7 linked regions of the Daphnia pulex genome follow. The protein of the gene in region 3 binds, or shares a complex with, the protein of the main gene of each other region. Links are inferred from orthologs where the notes say so. Each region holds a gene or a part of one and is shown on either strand. Other genes may lie near its edges.

What was found.
Region 1: thioredoxin-like protein 4A (region 3) and U6 snRNA-associated Sm-like protein LSm8 share a complex: the UniProt entries of both Homo sapiens proteins name them as parts of the precatalytic spliceosome. The link is inferred for Daphnia pulex from reciprocal best matches to the Homo sapiens genes TXNL4A and LSM8.
Region 2: thioredoxin-like protein 4A (region 3) and small nuclear ribonucleoprotein Sm D2 share a complex: the UniProt entries of both Homo sapiens proteins name them as parts of the U4/U6-U5 tri-snRNP complex. The link is inferred for Daphnia pulex from reciprocal best matches to the Homo sapiens genes TXNL4A and SNRPD2.
Region 4: thioredoxin-like protein 4A (region 3) and probable small nuclear ribonucleoprotein E share a complex: the UniProt entries of both Homo sapiens proteins name them as parts of the U4/U6-U5 tri-snRNP complex. The link is inferred for Daphnia pulex from reciprocal best matches to the Homo sapiens genes TXNL4A and SNRPE.
Region 5: thioredoxin-like protein 4A (region 3) and pre-mRNA-processing-splicing factor 8 share a complex: the UniProt entries of both Homo sapiens proteins name them as parts of the U4/U6-U5 tri-snRNP complex. The link is inferred for Daphnia pulex from reciprocal best matches to the Homo sapiens genes TXNL4A and PRPF8.
Region 6: thioredoxin-like protein 4A (region 3) and probable small nuclear ribonucleoprotein G share a complex: the UniProt entries of both Homo sapiens proteins name them as parts of the U4/U6-U5 tri-snRNP complex. The link is inferred for Daphnia pulex from reciprocal best matches to the Homo sapiens genes TXNL4A and SNRPG.
Region 7: thioredoxin-like protein 4A (region 3) and protein AAR2 homolog share a complex: the UniProt entries of both Homo sapiens proteins name them as parts of the U5 snRNP complex. The link is inferred for Daphnia pulex from reciprocal best matches to the Homo sapiens genes TXNL4A and AAR2.

What each region holds. Positions count from the first base shown.
Region 1 is NC_060019.1:330,985-333,608, forward strand, and holds U6 snRNA-associated Sm-like protein LSm8, read left to right. Parts: upstream 1-1,493; 5' UTR 1,494-1,572; coding exon 1,573-1,603; intron 1,604-1,665; coding exon 1,666-1,706; intron 1,707-1,787; coding exon 1,788-1,915; exon of another isoform or gene 1,916-1,981; coding exon 1,982-2,072; 3' UTR 2,073-2,124; downstream 2,125-2,624. Other genes in the region: alpha-ketoglutarate-dependent dioxygenase alkB homolog 7, mitochondrial-like, read right to left, coding at 1-102, 181-305, 371-538, 615-899; zinc finger protein 277-like, read right to left, coding at 2,136-2,222, 2,290-2,374, 2,437-2,624. UniProt on the Homo sapiens protein: Plays a role in pre-mRNA splicing as component of the U4/U6-U5 tri-snRNP complex that is involved in spliceosome assembly, and as component of the precatalytic spliceosome (spliceosome B complex).
Region 2 is NC_060018.1:305,154-307,981, reverse strand, and holds small nuclear ribonucleoprotein Sm D2, read right to left. Parts: upstream 1,525-2,828; 5' UTR 1,354-1,524; intron 1,285-1,353; exon of another isoform or gene 1,253-1,284; 5' UTR 1,137-1,252; coding exon 1,132-1,136; intron 990-1,131; coding exon 734-989; intron 665-733; coding exon 557-664; 3' UTR 501-556; downstream 1-500. Other genes in the region: proteasome subunit alpha type-6-like, read left to right, coding at 1-42, 113-323, 386-443; cofilin/actin-depolymerizing factor homolog, read left to right, coding at 2,733-2,735. UniProt on the Homo sapiens protein: Plays a role in pre-mRNA splicing as a core component of the spliceosomal U1, U2, U4 and U5 small nuclear ribonucleoproteins (snRNPs), the building blocks of the spliceosome.
Region 3 is NC_060018.1:1,947,734-1,950,114, reverse strand, and holds thioredoxin-like protein 4A, read right to left. Parts: upstream 1,248-2,381; 5' UTR 1,116-1,247; coding exon 1,038-1,115; intron 981-1,037; coding exon 844-980; intron 780-843; coding exon 566-779; 3' UTR 501-565; downstream 1-500. Other genes in the region: polyprenol reductase-like, read left to right, coding at 1,683-1,870, 1,941-2,089, 2,156-2,350. UniProt on the Homo sapiens protein: Plays a role in pre-mRNA splicing as component of the U5 snRNP and U4/U6-U5 tri-snRNP complexes that are involved in spliceosome assembly, and as component of the precatalytic spliceosome (spliceosome B complex).
Region 4 is NC_060026.1:14,103,919-14,106,453, forward strand, and holds probable small nuclear ribonucleoprotein E, read right to left. Parts: upstream 1,189-2,535; 5' UTR 1,064-1,188; coding exon 1,016-1,063; intron 936-1,015; coding exon 767-935; intron 708-766; coding exon 640-707; 3' UTR 501-639; downstream 1-500. Other genes in the region: serine-rich adhesin for platelets-like, read left to right, coding at 1-105. UniProt on the Homo sapiens protein: Plays a role in pre-mRNA splicing as a core component of the spliceosomal U1, U2, U4 and U5 small nuclear ribonucleoproteins (snRNPs), the building blocks of the spliceosome.
Region 5 is NC_060027.1:2,049,206-2,053,214, forward strand, and holds the start of pre-mRNA-processing-splicing factor 8, read left to right. Parts: upstream 1-1,209; 5' UTR 1,210-1,364; intron 1,365-1,566; 5' UTR 1,567-1,594; coding exon 1,595-1,820; intron 1,821-1,881; coding exon 1,882-2,214; intron 2,215-2,275; coding exon 2,276-2,894; intron 2,895-3,065; coding exon 3,066-3,258; intron 3,259-3,322; coding exon 3,323-3,640; intron 3,641-3,875; coding exon 3,876-4,009. UniProt on the Homo sapiens protein: Plays a role in pre-mRNA splicing as core component of precatalytic, catalytic and postcatalytic spliceosomal complexes, both of the predominant U2-type spliceosome and the minor U12-type spliceosome.
Region 6 is NC_060026.1:11,525,926-11,528,220, reverse strand, and holds probable small nuclear ribonucleoprotein G, read left to right. Parts: upstream 1-1,174; 5' UTR 1,175-1,332; coding exon 1,333-1,364; intron 1,365-1,427; coding exon 1,428-1,450; intron 1,451-1,512; coding exon 1,513-1,637; intron 1,638-1,703; coding exon 1,704-1,757; 3' UTR 1,758-1,795; downstream 1,796-2,295. Other genes in the region: sideroflexin-1-like, read left to right, coding at 69-154, 219-346, 409-498, 567-661, 727-786. UniProt on the Homo sapiens protein: Plays a role in pre-mRNA splicing as a core component of the spliceosomal U1, U2, U4 and U5 small nuclear ribonucleoproteins (snRNPs), the building blocks of the spliceosome.
Region 7 is NC_060019.1:11,511,752-11,515,106, forward strand, and holds protein AAR2 homolog, read right to left. Parts: upstream 2,202-3,355; 5' UTR 2,080-2,201; coding exon 1,913-2,079; intron 1,820-1,912; coding exon 1,704-1,819; intron 1,641-1,703; coding exon 1,524-1,640; intron 1,461-1,523; coding exon 1,166-1,460; intron 1,078-1,165; coding exon 903-1,077; intron 840-902; coding exon 606-839; 3' UTR 501-605; downstream 1-500. Other genes in the region: CDGSH iron-sulfur domain-containing protein 1-like, read left to right, coding at 1-84, 161-274, 334-423; ubiquitin-conjugating enzyme E2 N, read left to right, coding at 2,862-2,891, 3,020-3,110, 3,184-3,339. UniProt on the Homo sapiens protein: Component of the U5 snRNP complex that is required for spliceosome assembly and for pre-mRNA splicing.

The sequences.
Region 1 (2,624 bases), on a different chromosome or scaffold from region 3:
CAGATTACAGAGATACGCCTAGTTTTCGTGACTTTCTCTCCCCGGAAGAAGGATTCGCTATTGTTCAGAATTTCGTGATTAAATTCGTATCTAGCAAAGTCCCTGCAATAACAAAGAGAGAGACAGAAATTTAGATAGAGTTATATATCACGATGGGCTCTATTTTGCATAGATAATTACTTCATTATATACAATGATCTTCTCGGTAATAGTGCCGTGACCAAGACTTGGGGTCGCTGTATATGTATGAGCCTCATCACACTGGCTGTGAGCAGAGATATGCCCGATATGGTGGGGCCACAAAACTATGTTTAGAGAAATATACGAATAGATTAGAATGATAATTTCCAAACGCTGTCATCTATCATACCTTTATGCTGTCCAGATGTGGTTTGATGTGACCATTCTCAGCTAAATCAAGCACATGGACATGCTGCATCGTGGTAGTTGAAAAGGCAAAAGCTCTCAACCGATTTATAACACAGTCATTGACTTGATTCCAAGTAGGTTTCTCTGTTTCCCTGTATCCGTGGATAGCCTTTTGGGTTTCGAATAACAAATGGTGGTCATTCAACAGTCAGACAACCTACGTGAACACGAAATTTCAGACTTACATCATCCCAATGGTCATACTGATACCGGGACCTTTTGAACTTCACCTCCAACTCTTCCAATAGGTTATTCTCTTCTTCAGCACTGATGAAATCTTTGTAGACTTGAAAGTCTTTCTCAAGCATTTGCCTCGTCGCTTCATCGCAGTCGGGAGAGAATTCTAAATTTGGAGAGATCCCGCGGGTCTCTGCGGGAGTTGAGCATGTGCTTCTTGAATGGGAACAAGTAGCACTTAAAGGAATTGCGCGCTTCAAAACTGCACGAATATTGACCAGATAAAGCACCATATCTCGATGCTAAAATATTCAACCATTAAAAGTCGGACATCAAAATATTTCAAATCGGCAATTTTCTGCAAAGAGCAGACGACGTTTGCGTGTGTGTACGTGACATGCCATATTTCGTTTTGATTGCAATCAAATGTAAAAAATGATGTCATTAAAAATGACAGACGGTACTTTATTTAATGGACATGTATATTTAAAATAAATAGATTTAACAAAATTGGGCTGGGGTTAGTCACGCTAATATATTATTTCGTTTAATGTTAATACCTCAAAACCGACCAAATAAAGAATTATACCGCATAATGGAAATGTAGGGCCTATCTGATTTTCAAATTTATTTGATGGCCAAAGAAAACGATTCATCAAAACTCTAGCCTGCTGAGTTCTTCTCCTCACCAACCATTTGATTAACGTCTCGGGAAAATAGCCTCAGGCACCCCTTCTCGATTTCTTTAGTCTTTTTCAAATAACCAATTTCCATACATAAACAAAAATTATATTACTCTATCGAAATCATTAATCACTGAAACATAAGTTTACTACAGTTTGTATGAATTAAATCTGAATAGAATGAATGAAAATACTTTGTTGATATTAAAGTAAAATAAACGGCAACGCTGTATTGCAGACGATTTTTACAAGCCAAATACAAAGTGAAGCGAGTGAAGAAATCATGGCATCAACGTTAGATTCTTACGTTAATCGTGAGTTTTAATTATTATATTGTTTATTATTCACTGAAAAATTGTATCTTTCTTGTTCGCAGGTTCCGTATGTGTTATCACGAGTGATGGGAGGAATTTTATTGTAAGTTGTAACGCCCGATCACAAGGCATCATCCTCACTCAATAAACCGTTTGAAATAATTTCAATGTATTCTTTTTACAGGGTATTCTTAAAGGATTCGATCAGACTATCAACCTTATCATTGACGACAGTCATGAGAGAGTGTTTAGTTCTACCCAGGGAGTTGAACAAGTCCAACTGGGACTGCACATCATCAGAGGAGACAATGTGTATGTTTCATCCACTTATTAGCTGTAAAATAACTCAATCATAACTATTTCTTGTTGTAATTTCAGAGTTTTAATTGGGGAAATTGATAATGAACTTGATTCCAGACTCAATTTATCAGAAATAAGAGCAGAACCACTAGCTCAAATCCACCATTAAAGTTTGCATTATTCCATCATGATCACTTGAAATACAATCTTTTTTACAGCTTTGTAGAATCATTCATTTTTTTACAATTAGCTCTAGTTTAAGCAGTTCTTCTTCAACTACTTTAAGGTTTATGATGGTGTCTTCAGGGATCACTGTTACCTAATTAAATGAAAAATCATGAAAACAAGTTTTTACATTAATAAAAATCAGACTTAATATAATTTACTTGGTCGGTTTCAGTAGAATCATCTGGAATGGTATCTTCTAGCAAACAAAGAAGAGCATCATTTTCATAGGTTGGAAAGTAGTACCTAAAAGTTTATCCAATAAAATAGGATCCACAAATAGAAAATTTTGAATGTATCCGGCTTACTGTGACTGATCCCAAACTGCCCGATCGGGAAGTTTAAAGTGACTGAAGTTTTGCATGTGCTCTCTCAGTTTATCCCGGGATTCAAACTGCTCATCGCAAAGTATGCATTTCTTTTCATGCACTTGTCTCCTGACGTAGTTGACAATCTTAATTTGCTGATAGATACTAAAGCTCTTTTTCAGGCCCAG
Region 2 (2,828 bases), about 1.6 Mb from region 3:
ATGAAGAATTGGGGCCTGCTGTATACAAAGCTGACCCAGCAGGTATATATCTAAAATAGGGTGTAAAGTTCTCAAATTGTATGCTTTATTGCTGTTTTACTTTTTTTTCAAGGATATTACTGTGGTTATCGTGCTACTTCAGTGGGTGTTAAACAAACCGAGGCATCGTCGTATCTTGAGAAGAAATACAAAAAGAAACAAAACTACACACATGATGAAGTTATCCAGCTTGCTATTACAACTCTGTCTCATATCCTAACTGCTGATTTCAAGCCATCTGATATTGAAATTGGAGTTGTTTCTAAGGATCAACCAGGATTTAGGTAAGAAAATGCGCAAAATATTTAAGTTTAGGAAATTAATGTGACTGATCTGATTGTTATAGAATTCTGTCGGAAACTGACATCGATAAGCATCTGACTGCAATTGCCGAAAAAGATTAAGTTTGATTTTGTAACTTTTTCTTTCAACATTGGAATAAAACGAGATAATAAAACACATTTTCCGCTGTTCGATTTTTTTATTTCATACAAAAGTGAGAGATAAACACATACAATTATTTTGCTCCAGGAGTACCAGCCAAAGGATTTCTTAATACTAATATTACAGAATCTCCACGTAGGAACATTTTGGAGATAAAACGGTCCTTGTTGACTGGTTTGCTCTATAAAATAAATATACAACTGTCACTGTTGATAGATGAATGAATGAATGCAGAAATAGTGAAAATTACCTTCTTCTTTCCTTTCCCTGTTCTGGGAACTTCAGTCCACATTTCCTTGACATTTTCTAGAACCATATTGCAGTGACGGTCAAAAGCTTTAACACGTCCCAGTAGCTTTTTGTTGTTACGGCAGTTGATCAAGACCTGAGTGTTGTTTTTTACACTCTGAGTCAAAACTGAAAGTGGTCCAGTGTTGAATTCTTCTTCTTCCCGTTTGGCCAATTCCTCCGGTGTCATCTCCGACTTGGGTTTATTTGCAACAGCCCTATGGAAAGAAACATTTATTATTTAGTGCTCATACGAAACTGTCAAGTAGAGAAAAATCTGCAGACACGGAACACTGTAACTAGCTGAAAATATAGATTTAAAAATTTTCTATTTTGAAATTGAACTTAAGCTTTACTTACGCCATGATAAATAGAAGGATGTAAACGGATAGAGAAATATTCTTTGGAATATTTTTGAGCCCGGCTTCGTTTAACTTTTCAAACCGTTATTCACTTGTTTTTCGTAAACAAAACGTACATGCTGCGTTGTCATATTGTATTAATTAGCATTAGACGGTTGATGCTATTTTATGTCTTATTTGCGATTTAATTGCCAAAAATTGTTTTTTAATGTTGACTTACATTTTTAAGAGACACGTTTCAATTTCTAATAATTGTTGTGAAAAGAAAAGAATGAAATTTGCCAAGAAAAACATTTACAATCCCAGACGTCAGACGTCTGGGACTCTGTACTGGAATTCGTTTTAGTCGAGAGGAAAGGAAATACAAACCTCAGAAAGTAGAGTCAAGAGAAAACCGAAGCGGTTGACAATTGTCAGCCGACAGATGTTATGTTATGTAGCATAGCTTGTCTAATGCCATATATGGACATATTCCCCCCGTATGCACAGACTATTCTTTCTCATGGTCCCCAATGGAGAACGCTTTCCAGCGTTGTTGATAAGTCATCCTGAAACGGCGAAAACTTTCGAATCACGCTGTTATCGGCTGTTCATTGTGCGAAGGCGATCTATGGCAATTGAAACTTTTTGGTCTAAATTATAGAAACAGAGAAAGTTGTCGACACCGGTCCCGAGAGTTTCAGATTTTTAATACATAGGGGAGGGGAGGGCAGATTAGAGGGAGGGGAAGTAAAAATGTGAGTCATCGATGTCTGCCCATAAAAGGTCATCCTCCCCGAGAAACTGAATGAAAGAATAAGTGTGCAACTGGCCCAATAATTTTTTTTTTTCGTTAAAACACTCATGCGAGATGCACACCATTTATTAGGAAGTCGGAATGATCATTTAGAGTCGGCAACTTTTTGCTCAAGCAGAAAAATCTGCGAGTAGAGGATTTTACAGAAAAAGTTACTTTTCGTAACTCTCTCCAGGTTTGTGGTTTGGGCTCCCCTTTTTCGGGTTAACAAGCGCCCGATATGGACAACCAATCAGAGAATGTGCAACCAGTACACACAAAATTCTCTACAATCGGCATCATCCTTCAATCGCTAAGCAAGCAGAGACCCCTGGCGGTTACCCGAATTCATTTAACGACATTTGAGATTTTACATAACAGCAAACAGAATAAGAGTCATACAAATTATTTTTAAAATGATAAATGATGCGCCTATCATTATATGTTTTATTTGTGATAAATTAGTGAAGTTTGTAATATGGTTCGAAATAGGCATCGTTTGACGGCGCTGTATTCCACCCCCAGATGACGCGCTTTTCTGGGTGTGGACTGGGTAGCGCCAAGTTTTCTCAAGTTTGGGGAACAGCCGCCATTTTGCAGTGCGAGGTCCCGGCCGGTGTAGAGAAGTCTACTCTGAGTTTCCCCTCTTCTTTCGCCGCGCCACGAGTAAAATCTTATCGAGGGCATTTTCTCTCTCTCTCTCTCACTCGCACCACTCACTCCCCCCAGTGCCGTCTCATCCCGCAGTCATTCGGGTTGATCTTTCAGTTTAGGCGTCTTTGAGCTTTGCGTGAAATTTTTCTAGACTTTTTTCTTAGTCCAAAATGGTGAGTAACGTTGATATTGTCATGTCGTTAGAAATGTGTTTGCTGTATACGTGTGGAATTCTTCCAATTTCTGTCCCAAAGTCCTCGATTCAG
Region 3 (2,381 bases):
GGTGCACACGGAGTTCAATAAGTACAAGTTCGTTGTTGGACGGCCACCGGCTGTAAACACCTGTTATCCTCTTCACTTTATGGTACTTTCATGGGGATCAGCACATTCATAAGTAAAAAGTTTTGATGTCTTCACTTAGGGGTATATGACACATTGTTCTAACCGAGCTATTGAAACGGTTACATTCATTTAATCTGACGGGGCGAAACAAGAAACAGGCAGGAAACAGACTGCCGCCATAGTGTCGAGCACCTAGTGGCTTAAGTTTAAACTAAATGGACATGTCACTCTATCTCGAGTTCTTTTTGGGAAGTATTCGTTACCTGCTAATAACTACGTACGGTATACGTAAAATATAAAATAATTGAAATAAATTTTCATGGTAAGTTAAATCACTGTTCGGAAACCTAACCGTAAGTAATATAATGTAATTGTTGTAACGATTGTTGTACGATGTGTTTACTTGATGGTCAATTTATGAGACAAACAATTTATGAAAATGGGGATTCAAAAGTGTCATCATTTATTAGTTTTTAATCCAGTGTCATTTAATTGAACAACACAGTTAATAGCGATATTTGGTAGAATAATCTTTCGGTGAAACAACCAAACCTCGACCTTTTCTGGCTCCACGATAGACTGTTTCCACAATGTCAATCATTTCTTGTTTATCTTCTATTGCCCAGTTGATTTTATTGTTGTTACCAGTGCCTAAATCTATCATAATGTGTTTGTTACGGAAGAAAAACATGTTTGTGCAAGGATCATACAACTCGTACCTATATAGAAAAACAGTGAAAATCATTATTGGGATTCATTCATACAATGTAAATATGAAATTACATCTTATTGAAGTCAGGAACTTGGGTGATATCCACTAAATAGATGACAGCAAAGTTCTTGACTTTCTCTGCAATTTGATAAAGCACTTCATCCATTTTCATGCAAGTTGGGTCCCAATCATGACCAAAACGAATAACCTGTAGTAAAGCATGTTTAAATTGATAGTAATATTAACTAGAGAAAGTTTGATTTACCACTAAACGGTCCTCTTCTGAAAGAATTGCTTGATCTACTTGCCAACCATTAACAAGATGCTGTAACATGTAAGACATATTGTTTGATTGATAAAGGTCGTGAAAAAAGAAAAAGCTGAACAGTGCTTAGAAATAGATCTCGCTTCACGTTTTCAAACCTTTCCTTTCAGAAACCCGAAAAAGGTAAATAATGCGTCTGTCAACTTCACGAGTAACACGACATCTGTGTGTGAAATTTTCATCCACTTTCTTTACAAATTCATTCCCAACTCCCAAGGAATATAAACATATTTAACAGTATAAAAATGTGTATAGTTAACTATAAAATATTTAAAGTTTTACTAATAAAACATTTTAAAAGTAAAATAAAATTTATTTCTAATAAGGGATTATTCTTAAGATCTGGCAAGTGGCAATACTTTCGAATTCCCCCCCTGGCCCCCTTCCTCTTATCATTTGTTTTCAATTTTTCGTTCAGACTTCATGGCACGGGGTCGCCTTCAGAAACCCGAAAAACCAGTTGTGCTTTTACGTAAAATCAAATCTCTTTTTACATAACCTGTTGAAAACCGACTATGCTTTCAATCTAAACGAATTAATAACTCAGCCATTCCTTCAAGATAGCCAATAGTCTCAACACCGGCCATGATCACAATAAGCATTGTTATTACCATCTTTATTTTGTTGAGCATGAGTTCCATTCTTGGTATTCTTGTGTTTGTTGTTGATACTAAGTGGATACCAAAGATTATAATTGATCTCTACTCTTATGGGAAAAGTTGTGAAGGTAAGGTATTTGGCAGTTCAATCAGAACTATCCTTATTCCGAAGAGGTATTAAAGTTACTACTGCTGATTCCTTTACAATTAAAATTAAAAATTTATTTTAATCTGCTAAATTAAGTTGGTTTACACACTTTTATGTGTTTGGAGTATTCTATACATTCCTGGTTCTCATAACAATGATGTGGAAGATTGTGTTGAAGAATCAATTATCTACGCTTGTAACCTCATACATTAGTTTTGTATCACCATACACTCACAATCCTTTAGGTAACTGAACAATTTTAACAAAATTTTATTCATTCTGTATTGTTAAAATATTGTCTATTTATAAAGCTAGCCCTGAGTTATCACTATTAGCTGCTGTACTTTTTTTCCTGCAAACATCCAGGAGGTTGTATGAATGTTTGTGTGTCACTGTTTTTGCTGATTCAAAAATGAACCTTGGCCATTATTTAGTTGGCTATCTACATTATTGGGGGTGTGCCACTGTCATACTTTCATACTCAGCTGACTATTCCAGTACAAATGGTAGGTGTTACCAACACAATATTTTCCCATT
Region 4 (2,535 bases), on a different chromosome or scaffold from region 3:
GATTCGTCGTCCAACCCGTCACCCTCGCCTTCGGGCTGCGGTTCTAGACACAATAGCAATTCCAGTTTGAATTGCAACAGCTTCTCTGTTATCGAAGTGTCATAATAAATTGATAATTATGTATGTGTAATTATTTTAAACACTACTTTATTTTTAGGGTCTGAAATTTTGCTAGTTTTCACTCTTTGCTATGTTGTACACCCCCCACCTAACAGGCTGATATCATTGATACTTTTATTGATTTTATACTTGTACCTTCTATTTTAAGTGGTTACACAATGTTGTGCAATAGGTTATTTTTATTATTGTAGTCCACATGAAATGACTTGTTTTCAAAACATGATTATTCTTGTCATTGTGTAAATTATTCTCTTGCCGGAGACATTTTTCATGTGTAAAAGTGGCTAGGCTTCATCAAAATAAATATTGGAAAATATTACTAGGGAAATTTATATAAAACTAAAAAATAATAAATAGATGTTGAGAATGAAATATTCAAGTGTGGTTGTAGCATCATGTTTTTCTTATCAGTCAGCACATCAAGATTGGATGTACACAAAATCAGTTCCCCGTTAATCAAAGGTAATACACGACAGAACACAAATTGGGAATGCATTCTGACCAATTAATATAGGAAGATTAGTCGTCTCCACTTCCTGCAGCATTTTGGATTAGAGTAATGTTGTCACCTTTCAGCAACACCCGTCCTAAAATAAAACAGCATTTAGAAGACAGAATAATTGTGAGTAAATGAAAACGTCATTACCAATCTGTTTTCTGACATTTGTTTTGACGTAGACTTCCTCTGCATCATCGAGAACAATGTTCATGTACTCATCAAATCCAACAATGTGTCCTTCCATGTGCATGTTGATGTTCTCATAAAGCCAAATGTCTACTCTTGATCTTGTCTGAAGGTATCTGAAAATCAAGTTCTGGAAAAAGACATTTTTGACACACGTGCCGGTTAATAAATCTTCGTGCTGAAATCGAAGTGATAGTGGTGAAAACTTACGATGGGTTGAACCATCACTTTCTGGACTTTAGGTGCTCGGGCTGCCATTTATCTTGAATTGATATTTAATTGATTCCACACGGGAAAATTATCAAATTTCTAAATGAGAGTTGTTTGAGTTTACACTTTTTGTTGAAGAAGAAACGAACACAGACGCTCAATTGCCAACAACGTTGCCAGATATTTATTTCCTCGTAGGGATTTTCCGATATTTTTCAAAAAGACAAGGGCGGCAAAGGCAAGCAGGCAAAGCAGCCAAGCAGCCAAGCCAGAGTAACAGAATATTACTTTTTTTATGCTGGCATCCCGTTCCGGTTTGCGAGGTTCCCGTAGGAAATAATATCAATTAAAAATTTAAAAAAGCAAAAGTAAAGTAAACATGAAATTCAAAATTAATTACATGAATCTATCGGTATGGTGAATGGGAGGGGGGACGGGCTTCGCCTGCCACCCCCGCCCCCCCCCTCTTGCTTCGTTAATCGCTTAAATTACTGTTATACTTTTACATTAAATAGTATCAATCAAACAAGGCCTATCGGAACATCAAAAAATATCTGTGAATCATAAGGGGTGCGACTTAGGTGTGGCGGAGGCTTCGCCCCGCCACCCCACGTCGCACTCTCTTTTTAGCTTAAGTAACAGCAAAATTTATTATTTTCATAAGCAATATGAAATAAAAAATAATTAGTTATAGTTACAGATAAATCTGTAAACAGTTAGAACAAACCAAACCACAACACCCACCCTCTCTTACGCTTCGTTTAAGTTATTTCGATATTTTTACTTGAAATCGTATACTAATAAAAAATAATACATATCGAAATCAATTAAAACATATCGAAACATTCAAAAGTTATGTCAAACATTCAAACATTGGGGTGTGACTTAGGTGTGTGCTGTGGCGGAGGCTCTAGGCCGCCTAGAGCCTAGATAGATGCCAGTTAACTTTTACTTTTGGTCGCTAGAGCCTAGATGCCAGTTTCTACGCGCGCAGTTCAAACTGTTTTTCATTTTCGAGGCGCGCAGTTCAAACCGTTTTCCAATTTCTACGCGCGCAGTTCAAAATTCCAAAAAGCCATCTATTGGCGAAATTTGAACTAATCCTCCCGTATGCCAAAAAACCTGTAGAATTAATATATTTTTCTATTACTCTGCTGACTGGGCCTGTGGGCTGTGGCCTTGTGGCGTGTGGCCGTTCTGCGCCGATCTGCCGTTCCTTTCCTTACAACAACTGATGCTTGCTGCTTGGAAAAATTCACAGAATCACAGCTAATACTGCTAATACTTTTCATTTAATGTCAACTTTTGGGCTGTTCTCGCCTTGGGATCCACAATGAGTTTCGCTGTTCTGTTCGTGGAATAATTTTTTTAAAAAGAAGATAAGGACATATTCATACGAGGGGTCGAGGGCATTCTCTGACGTAACTATAAAACATACGGTTTTAATTTGCCAAGTGTGTCACTGTGTCACATCTCACCTACAGTATTTAATTCAAAATTGGTAAAAGTCAATTTTCAAA
Region 5 (4,009 bases), on a different chromosome or scaffold from region 3:
AGAGAATTTGAAGAAATTAAAGGTGTTCATTATTAAATAAAGGAAGTATAATCTAATAGGTAGAATTACTGGATTTTCGTATGATATGCATCAGGTCAAACTAAACTAAAACTTAAAAAACAGTTCCCCTTGAATTGGTGATGCACTTAGTGTATTTAATAATGCGCCAAAACTCTCAAACAATTATTGTTGGTTGCATAAATTGTGTGTCAAAAAATTCATTATTTAATATGATTTTAGCTCTTGCAATATCACAAATCAAAGGGGCAGTTCAATTATAAGGGGCATCTAAAAACTACAGTAAATAGTAATTATTTCATTTTTAGGCCAAACTCATATTCTTTTTGCTGAGGGTTTCTTTGAGCTCATTTCTGATATTTTCCATCACTTCTGGATTATTCTCTACAGTTCTGCTCAATTCAGTTAGAGCTGAATAAGCCATGGCTTGATTCAAAGGGCAGACTACAAATCCACTCAGTCTTCCCCATAGTCTTTCATACAAATTGTTCCTCTCTTCTACCGTAAAGTCCTCTCTTAAAGCTGTCATCAGAGGTTTGTAATTGCCATATCCCATAGCGTGTGATAAACCTAGGATTCCTGTGCCTGCGACAGCTCCTGCAAATGATGACAAGAAAAAATGATAGGTGCCAAATGGAAAAAAATGAAAACTGCCAAACTGAAAATTACCAATGACAGCTCCAAGAGGACCACCAGCTAAGCCACCAAGGAAGGTTGGCAAAGCAACAGTGGCTGAATCTTTTAATGGTCCAGCTAAGGAAACTGAAAGTGATTTTGTCCTCGACAGTTCCTCCAACAGACCTTCAATCAACTTGATTGCAAGAGTCTGAAATACATAAAACGTTTACATAAAAAAAAAAATGAAATCCTCTTTAATCTTGTCTTGAAAAAGGGGACATTATAATTTTATACTTCCATGGCAGTAGTCTATTGTTGTTACGATAATTGGAGTCACAAAAAATATTTTGAACTACAGACTAGAATGGTGATCATTAAGAATTTGCACTGAGTTCGGTTTAGTAGCGATAAACTTTCACTACTAATTTATCAAATCGAACGATAACAATGTGTAAACATGATAAGAAAAACGAAAAACTGCAACAAACTCAAAATAAAAAGAAGCAGACAAATTTCGAACGTGTGATGCAATAACAAACGGAGTTGCCGCTTATTTAAAAATAATTAAAATAAATATTCAAGCCATTTTCGACGGCAACTCCGTCTACAGTAAACCGGCATCGCGCTTTTTCGTACAAGCTGCGTATACTTCCGTGGCTTTCATTGTATAAGAAACGTGGAATTGCGACTGGTTTCTAGATTGTGTATAGGTTTTTAAAACTTTATTGGTGAGCATTGTCGTTTATTCTATTTCAAACTTTGTTTCATTGATGATGGTTTGTGTCTCAAAAGTAACTGTCTGGTGAATGTTTTAAGGCTAAACAAATAGTTTATTGCCATGAGAGTGGACATGCTTGTAAATGTCATGGCTGACTGTAAGCATTGGATGATGGAGCTATTATGTTCTAATTTTATTGTTTTAATTACCAGGGCCATAGCCCAGAAAGCTTAAATCAGGATGTCGGGAATTCCACCATTTTTTATTCCTGGTGTCACACCCCCAAATCCATGGGCAAATGCGGCCATGATGGCGCAAGCCCAGCAACAGGCACAGCAAGCCCAAATGGCTGCTGCGGTCCAAATGCAGGCTCAAGCAGCTGCAGCTGCTCAACTTCAAGCTGCTCAGATCCATGCAGTTCAAGCAGCCCATGCACAAGTGCAGGCTCAGGTTCAGGCAACACAAGGTAGTAATTGAGTACAAACGTTTATTATAACAAGGTATTTTATCAGTTTTATTTACATCAGGTCCTCCTGTAATAACTAGTTCGAAACAAGAGCAGATGACAGAAGAAAAAATGCAAGACAAGGCTCGTAAATGGCAGCAATTACAAACCAAACGTTATGCAGACAAGAGAAAGTTTGGCTTTGTTGATTCTCAGAAAGAAGATATGCCTCCAGAGCACGTCCGTAAAATCATTCGGGACCATGGTGATATGACCAACCGAAAGTTCCGTCACGACAAGAGAGTGTACCTTGGTGCTCTTAAATATATGCCACACGCTGTTCTCAAGCTCTTGGAGAACATGCCTATGCCTTGGGAACAAATCCGTGATGTTAAAGTACTCTACCACATTACAGGTTCGTTTCACTTATCTTTTCTTTATGTTGTATAAACGCTAATGGTATTCATTTGTTTTAGGTGCCATTAGCTTCGTCAACGAAATTCCGTGGGTCGTTGAACCTGTTTACATTGCCCAGTGGGGTACCATGTGGATTATGATGCGTCGAGAGAAACGAGATCGTAGACACTTCAAACGAATGCGCTTTCCTCCTTTTGACGACGAAGAACCTCCGTTGGACTATGCTGACAATATTTTGGATGTAGAACCCCTGGAAGCCATTCAGATGGAGTTGGACTCGGACGAAGACAAACCAGTTGCTTCTTGGCTGTACGATAGTAAACCTTTGGTCGATACTAAATTCGTCAATGGTACCACCTATCGCAAGTGGCAACTCGAAATGCCTCAACTGGCGACACTCTACCGTTTGGCGAACCAATTGTTGACTGACCTCGTCGATGACAATTACTTTTACCTCTTCGACCTCAAGTCATTCTTCACCGCCAAGGCGCTGAATATGGCAATTCCGGGTGGACCTAAATTCGAGCCACTTGTAAAGGACGGAAACACTCAAGATGAGGATTGGAATGAATTTAATGATATCAACAAGATTATCATCCGGCAACCTGTTCGAACAGAATATCGTATTGCCTTCCCCTATCTCTACAACAACATGCCCAACTTTGTTCATTTATCTTGGTGAGTAATACTGGCTTTCAACTTGTGCTTTAATGGCTGAGATATACACCGATATCCAGAAGATACTTGGATGTTGGTGGCTGAAACAGTCGTAGATAAAAAAAACCAAGAGCTCTTAGTCTTTACTACATAAAACTATATTGAGCCCTACAATGATTATTTCTCTTTTAGGTATCACACCCCAAATGTGACCTTCATCAAGACAGAAGATCCCGATTTGCCGGCTTTCTACTTCGATCCGCTCATCAATCCGATTTCGCATCGCCGTACCGAGAACAAGTTGGCAGAAATGTCTGAGCAAGATTTGTTACCCGACGATAGCGAAGAATTTGAATTACCAGAATATGCGGCACCACTGCTTCAAGTAAATTTTCCATCATCTGAAATTTTAGTTAAAAAGCAATTTTAATCGATATTTCTCTTGACAGGAATGGCCCTTGTATACGGACAACACAGCGAACGGTATTGCGTTGTTGTGGGCTCCCAGGCCGTTCAACTGCAGGTCGGGATTCACTCGTCGTGCACTGGATGTTCCATTGGTCAAAAACTGGTACCGTGAACACTGCCCACCCGGACAACCGGTCAAGGTGCGCGTTTCATACCAGAAGCTATTAAAGTACTACGTCTTGAATGCGCTCAAGCATCGACCACCGAAAGCCCAGCGCAAGCGTTATCTTTTCCGGTCCTTCAAGTCGACCAAATTCTTCCAGCAAACAACTTTGGATTGGGTTGAAGTCGGCCTCCAGGTAAATATTAAACTTTTTCCTGTTAAGAGTCCTTTATAATGATGAGTTGTGCAGGGGTCATGAAATTACCCATAACATGTTAGGTAGACATTGAAAGTCGGGTCTGGCCGTTTGCTAGCCAACTTTCGATGGGACAACGCACTTACTGATATTAACAATCCTCTTAACTTCACATTTCATATTTTTATATCTCTTCCCAAAGACTTAACCCATTTCTTTGTTTGAACAAATTTAGGTCTGTCGTCAAGGATGGAATATGTTGAACTTGTTGATTCACAGGAAGAACCTCAACTACTTACATTTGGATTACAATTTCAACTTGAAACCCGTCAAGACCCTTACAACCAAGGAGCGTAAAAAGTCACGTTT
Region 6 (2,295 bases), on a different chromosome or scaffold from region 3:
GTATCAAAAATATTAACTTGATATAATGGACCATAATGTAAATAACTTTATGAGAAATTAATTTTTAGTCAATGTCTCCTATTATTGGGCGTTTGGTACCCTTTGCAGCTGTTGCTGCCGCTAACTGTGTAAATATTCCTCTGATGCGAATGCAGTAAGATAAACATTTTCTCGTCGCATAAGATAACTAATGCTTTAAAATACGACTGATTTTTTAGTGAAATTCAAAAGGGAATCTCAGTTTCTGATGAGAACGGAAATGTACTCGGTGAATCTTCGATTGCTGCCAAATGGGGTATCACTCAAGTTGTCCTTAGTCGTATCGGAATGGCTTCTCCTGGAATGGGTAATTCATGTAATACGATAGTAATCTGATAAAAATAAAACATCCAGCACAATAATATGCAGTCCTACCACCTCTGCTGATGAATTATTTGGATCGAAAGGGCTTCTTGAAGCGATTCCCTTGGTCTGCGGCACCTATTCAAGTTACTTTATGTATGAAACATTAACTATTTATCATGTAGTTGTAAACGGCCAATTATGTATTATTATTTGGCTTACAGGTGGCGTATTACTTACTTTCGCTACTCCAATGTGTTGTGCCCTGTTTCCTCAAAAAGCATCGATTTCGGTTGACAGTCTGGAACCAGAGCTACAGGTAATTTTTTATAGCGTTTTAATGTGGTTCTTGTTTTAACATACATCTTTTCTTTTTTAATTCAGGCAAAGATTCGAAAATCCCCGAATCCCCCAACTGTTGTTTATTACAACAAGGGCCTGTAAATTTGAGTCAATCACTGAATTACTGTGGACGAGTGCAAATATCTCAGTACAAGTTTCTTAGATCAACTAGAAAATGAAAAAAACAACAGAAAAACACATTTAATTAAAGTAACTTCCACAGTTTATTTTTTTTTGCTCAAAGTATATTGGTGTAGTTTCCATTCCAGTTGAGGTAATTGGTAGTCATTTTGCTATAGAAATAAACTGCTAAAAAATATTTTCTTACAGAATTGTAGCTGCTAATTTATACAATTAATTGAAGATCGTAATTTTTTTCCTGTTTTAATAAGGCAAAAAAGCCACAAGCTGTATAAAAAATTCCTTAGCGCGCCAGCGCCCAGCCGCCAGGTCTCGTCGCCGGTCTCGCAAAGCCGCCAGTTTCTAAATTCAATATCTGGCAAACACGCGTTCCTAACGTTTGGCATCGCGCATCGGACATTAAAAACGATCCAAACTTTCTTGGTGTATCACGTTTTTTCCTAGTTGCTTGAAGTTAGTGATATATTCATCAACGTAGATATTAGATATTAGTTATTTCAAACCAAAATGAGCAAGGCCCATCCACCAGAGTTGAAGAAGTATGTATTGTTGCTTAAGTTATATTTACATTTTTAATAATGATCTCTACTTCTTTTGTACAGGTACATGGATAAAAGAATGTCTTGTAAGTATTATTTTTTTGTTAAATTATTATTGAAAACTGTTTTGAAGAATTGTTTTTCACAGTGAAACTGAATGGTGGTAGGAACATTGTTGGGATCTTGAGAGGTTTTGATCCATTCATGAACTTGGTCATTGATGAAACCGTTGAAGAAGTTAAAGATGGTTCGAAAAATAACATAGGGATGGTGGTATGTTTAAAATTAACATGGCATACATAAATTCAAATACCATTAACTATTTATATGTAAATTTAGGTTGTTCGTGGAAACTCAATTATAATGTTGGAAGCACTGGAAAGAATCATGTAGCCTAACTGCTGAAAAATAAATGTCATCCAAATTGTAAATTATTTAAAACATTCCACTTTATTACTCTTTTCTTAGCCATCTTAGCATTGGGTTGAGAGGAATTAAGAATGAAAAGGTTACAAATAAACTGAAAATTAAGGAGTGTTGCAAATAAAACACCATTAGAAGAAATATAATGGCTGGAAATTAATGTTAAATTAAAATTAATAGTAAAAAAATAATGAGAATTCTAAAACAATTTTTCGGTAATGAAAGATTTCATTTATTGACGCTAATTAAACAAATTAAGCTTGATCACGTCAATCACGATGAGAGATTGTGCATGTAATATTATTACCTTATTTATATTATGTGGTATATATAAATAACATAATTCAGCGCCACTGCCAGAAGGTTAGATAGTTGTTGAGCTCGGAATTGTTGAACGCCATCTATGCTCTCCAGACGATACACAAGGGTGGGGCCTATATTCTGATAGACGAAAAATTAACATGAGAGTGACTAGGTCTGGGCAGAGCAATAGATGCCTGGTCGGTTC
Region 7 (3,355 bases), on a different chromosome or scaffold from region 3:
GGGGTTGCTGCTGTTGGTATATCACTTTTCATCTATGCCAAAGTAACAGGCACTGGATTTTGTAAAAAGAAGTGTGATAAAAAGGTATGGATTCTCAATATATTTTGACTTTAGAAGATAATAATCTGAAGTTTAATTTCTTATACAATTCTTTATACAGGGCAGTGTGGTTAATCAGAGTATTAAAAAGGGTGATTCAAAAGTAGTTGACACTTTTGACTTAGAAGACATAGGGGACAAGAAAGTATTCTGCCGATGCTGGCGTAGTGCTTCGGTAAGGAACTTATTATGGATCAAATTAATTTATCTTATATAACTTTTATCCTTTCCTAGTTTCCCTACTGTGATGGTTCACACAACAAGCATAATACAGAGACTGGTGATAATGTTGGCCCACTAATTGTTGGAAAGAAAAGCAACTGAACAAGCAATCTACCATGTGGTAGTTACTGCCCATCTCTTTAGTAGTTTTTCATATATTTAGTTATTATTACTACTGGTTTTCAGCTTGTAAACACATTACACATGTATTGAGGAATTGAGGAAATTTGTGTACAGTATATCATGGTTGAAGTGGTTGAAGTATCAATTTTCTCTTAATATTATTACATACTTTCATCCAACTCAACTAGTACTGGTGCTTCATCATTTGGTTCAACATCAAAATCCCATTGAAACCTCTGTGTTACAAATTGCTTCAACTGTGAGGCTCTTCTTTTAAGCTGTCTGTCAACAGCATCATTTTCCAAAATATTTCCAAACAAAACTCTTAAAGTTTGAATGAGGAAGTTTTCTGATGAGATTATGTCAACAAAAAAATCTGGAGATACTTCTTGCATCTAAAAAACAATATATTTTAATTAATAATTTTAGTTGAAAATTGTGTTTTCTAATGTCATCACCTGAAAATAGATATCCCCAATGAACTCCACAATTAATGATGGATTTTTCAACAGAATCTCATCAGCAAAACAAAAAATACGAATCACGTTCTTCCAGTGTTCAAAAGCACTGTAAACTTGTCCTATCAAAAAACACAAAAACGCCATTTGAAGTTCAGCAAGCATTTGATTGGGTCTAAACAAGAAAATAATTTATTATTAAATACAGCAAACTATTTGGTATTTTTTACGTTCCGAAAAATAAATATTAAAAAAATGCCGACCTTTCCCAAGTTGACAGCATTTGTTCCAGTAAATAAGATGTGTCAATGCTATGTTTAGTGATTTCCATGGCACTTGATCCTACTGGATAGAAATCAACAGGGACTTTGGTAAAATTTAACGCTGTGCCTGGCTTTGGTTGCATGTGCGGTAGTAATTCATCTTCATAATTTGACCTCTTTATTCTTTTTTCTTTCACTGGAGATTCTGCTGGTGCTGGTACATCTTCTGATGAAATTAATTCTGTAACTGATGAAATCTTTTGCTGAAGGGGTTCCACTTTCCCAACTACATCAGCTAAATATTAATTGTTAGACATTTTATTTTTGTACAGATTACATAATGTATAAGAAAATATACTTGTCAATTTACTGCTGAGAGACATCCATTTCTTCCAGGTATCAAATGGATATGGACCCAAGTGCTGATCAAGATTTTTTAAATTGGCTTTTAAACTTTCTCTTTCTTCATCAGTACCTATTATGGATAAACACTAAATAATAAATTAATATTAAATAATGATTTATAAAATAAAATTACAATCGTTGATGACATCTTCTATTTCTGGGTTCCACTTACGGACCACAACTTCCTTCTTATTGAAGTTGTAAAAGAAACCTGTTCTTGGCGCTACGGAACCTTCCTTGCTTACAGAGCTAGAAATTATATAAAAATATACAATCACATTTTGTACCTCACAGTGAATGTTACACTCACACAACTGTTCTAACAAAAAATAACTTATTTGCCTGTAATAAATATAGTGAATTCCAGGGGGTATCATTTTTATGCCTTTGAATTTTTCGCCGGTTCTCCAACTGTTGAAATCTATTCCTACTTCAGTCCCAATTGGTACGCCAAGAAGAAATAAAAACGCGCCCTCTTCAAATAATTTGTTAGCCAATTTTTGATCCATTCTTTCCGTGTTTGACACTTGATGGTTTATATTTTAAAACAGAATGAAGCTGAGTGAATGAAACCACGCAAAAGCAATGAACGAACAATACTAGCAGACGACAGTTTAAAAACAAACAACATGGAGGTCAGACGTCAGATCAGTACCGGATGCCGACTTGCCGAGTTAAATTCTAGCAATTTTGCATAAAAAAAGGGAATAAAATTAACATGAAGAAGGATAGGAGAAGAAAGTGATAAAATAAAAAATTTTATGTGTTGAAGCCTGCCATTCAATCTTAATCATGCCTTATTAGTTAATTTGCCCTTTTTCAATTTATTTCAACTTTCAAGTCGAAATTCTTTCTAGATGATTCATGAAAATAATTAAAATATTCCGCAAACAGAACAGCCAATTAATCTAACCAAAAAATTTTTACTGGTCATTTTCTACGGTTCTGAAATAAAGGTTTAAACTCATTTCCGGCATTTGAAAAGCAATACCTTTTGTTTAGCTTTCTCGTGTATTTCCGTTTGTAAACCAATTCAAATAAACTTTGTTCATTTTAAATAAATCGTCTTAATTTGAAAAATAATATGTTTATATGTCTAATTCTTCCCGTGTGGCCGGGTCGATCTCCTACCGATTTTCGTCACCAAACAATTTGACAACGTCTTAAATTAGCAATAGGGCACTCGTATAGCGTGAAAACTTTCCGTCTTCTCTATTTGGCTTTAAAGTTACCATCTATTATACGAAAATCTTATTTTATACTCGTTGTTTGTTCAACAAATTGATGCGAAATGGCAGGCTTACCTAGAAGGATAATCAAGGTAACACAAATCTTAATTGTAGACTTGCATCAAAGTGGGAGGCAACGTGTTTTTTTCTCCCGATCCTATTATGGGACCGGTAGTATTCTCTAGCAATATAGTATATTCGTCATTAATTTGATCAATAGGAAACTCAACGTTTGATGGCTGAGCCTGTCCCAGGCATTAGTGCAGTTCCAGATGAACAAAATGCTCGTTATTTCCATGTTGTGGTTGCAGGTCTGTAAACTTAAATTGCAACCTTAAAGTGTCATTCTGGTACTGACTAGTTCATATTGATTAAAATTCATAGGTCCAGAAGGTTCTCCATTTGAAGGTGGTGTTTTCAAATTGGAACTATTTTTGCCTGAAGAGTACCCAATGTCTGCACCTAAAGTGCGATTCATGACAAAGATTTATCACCCTAATATTGATAAACTTGGCCGAATTTGTCTTGATATTCTGAAAGGTGATTATTTTTATTA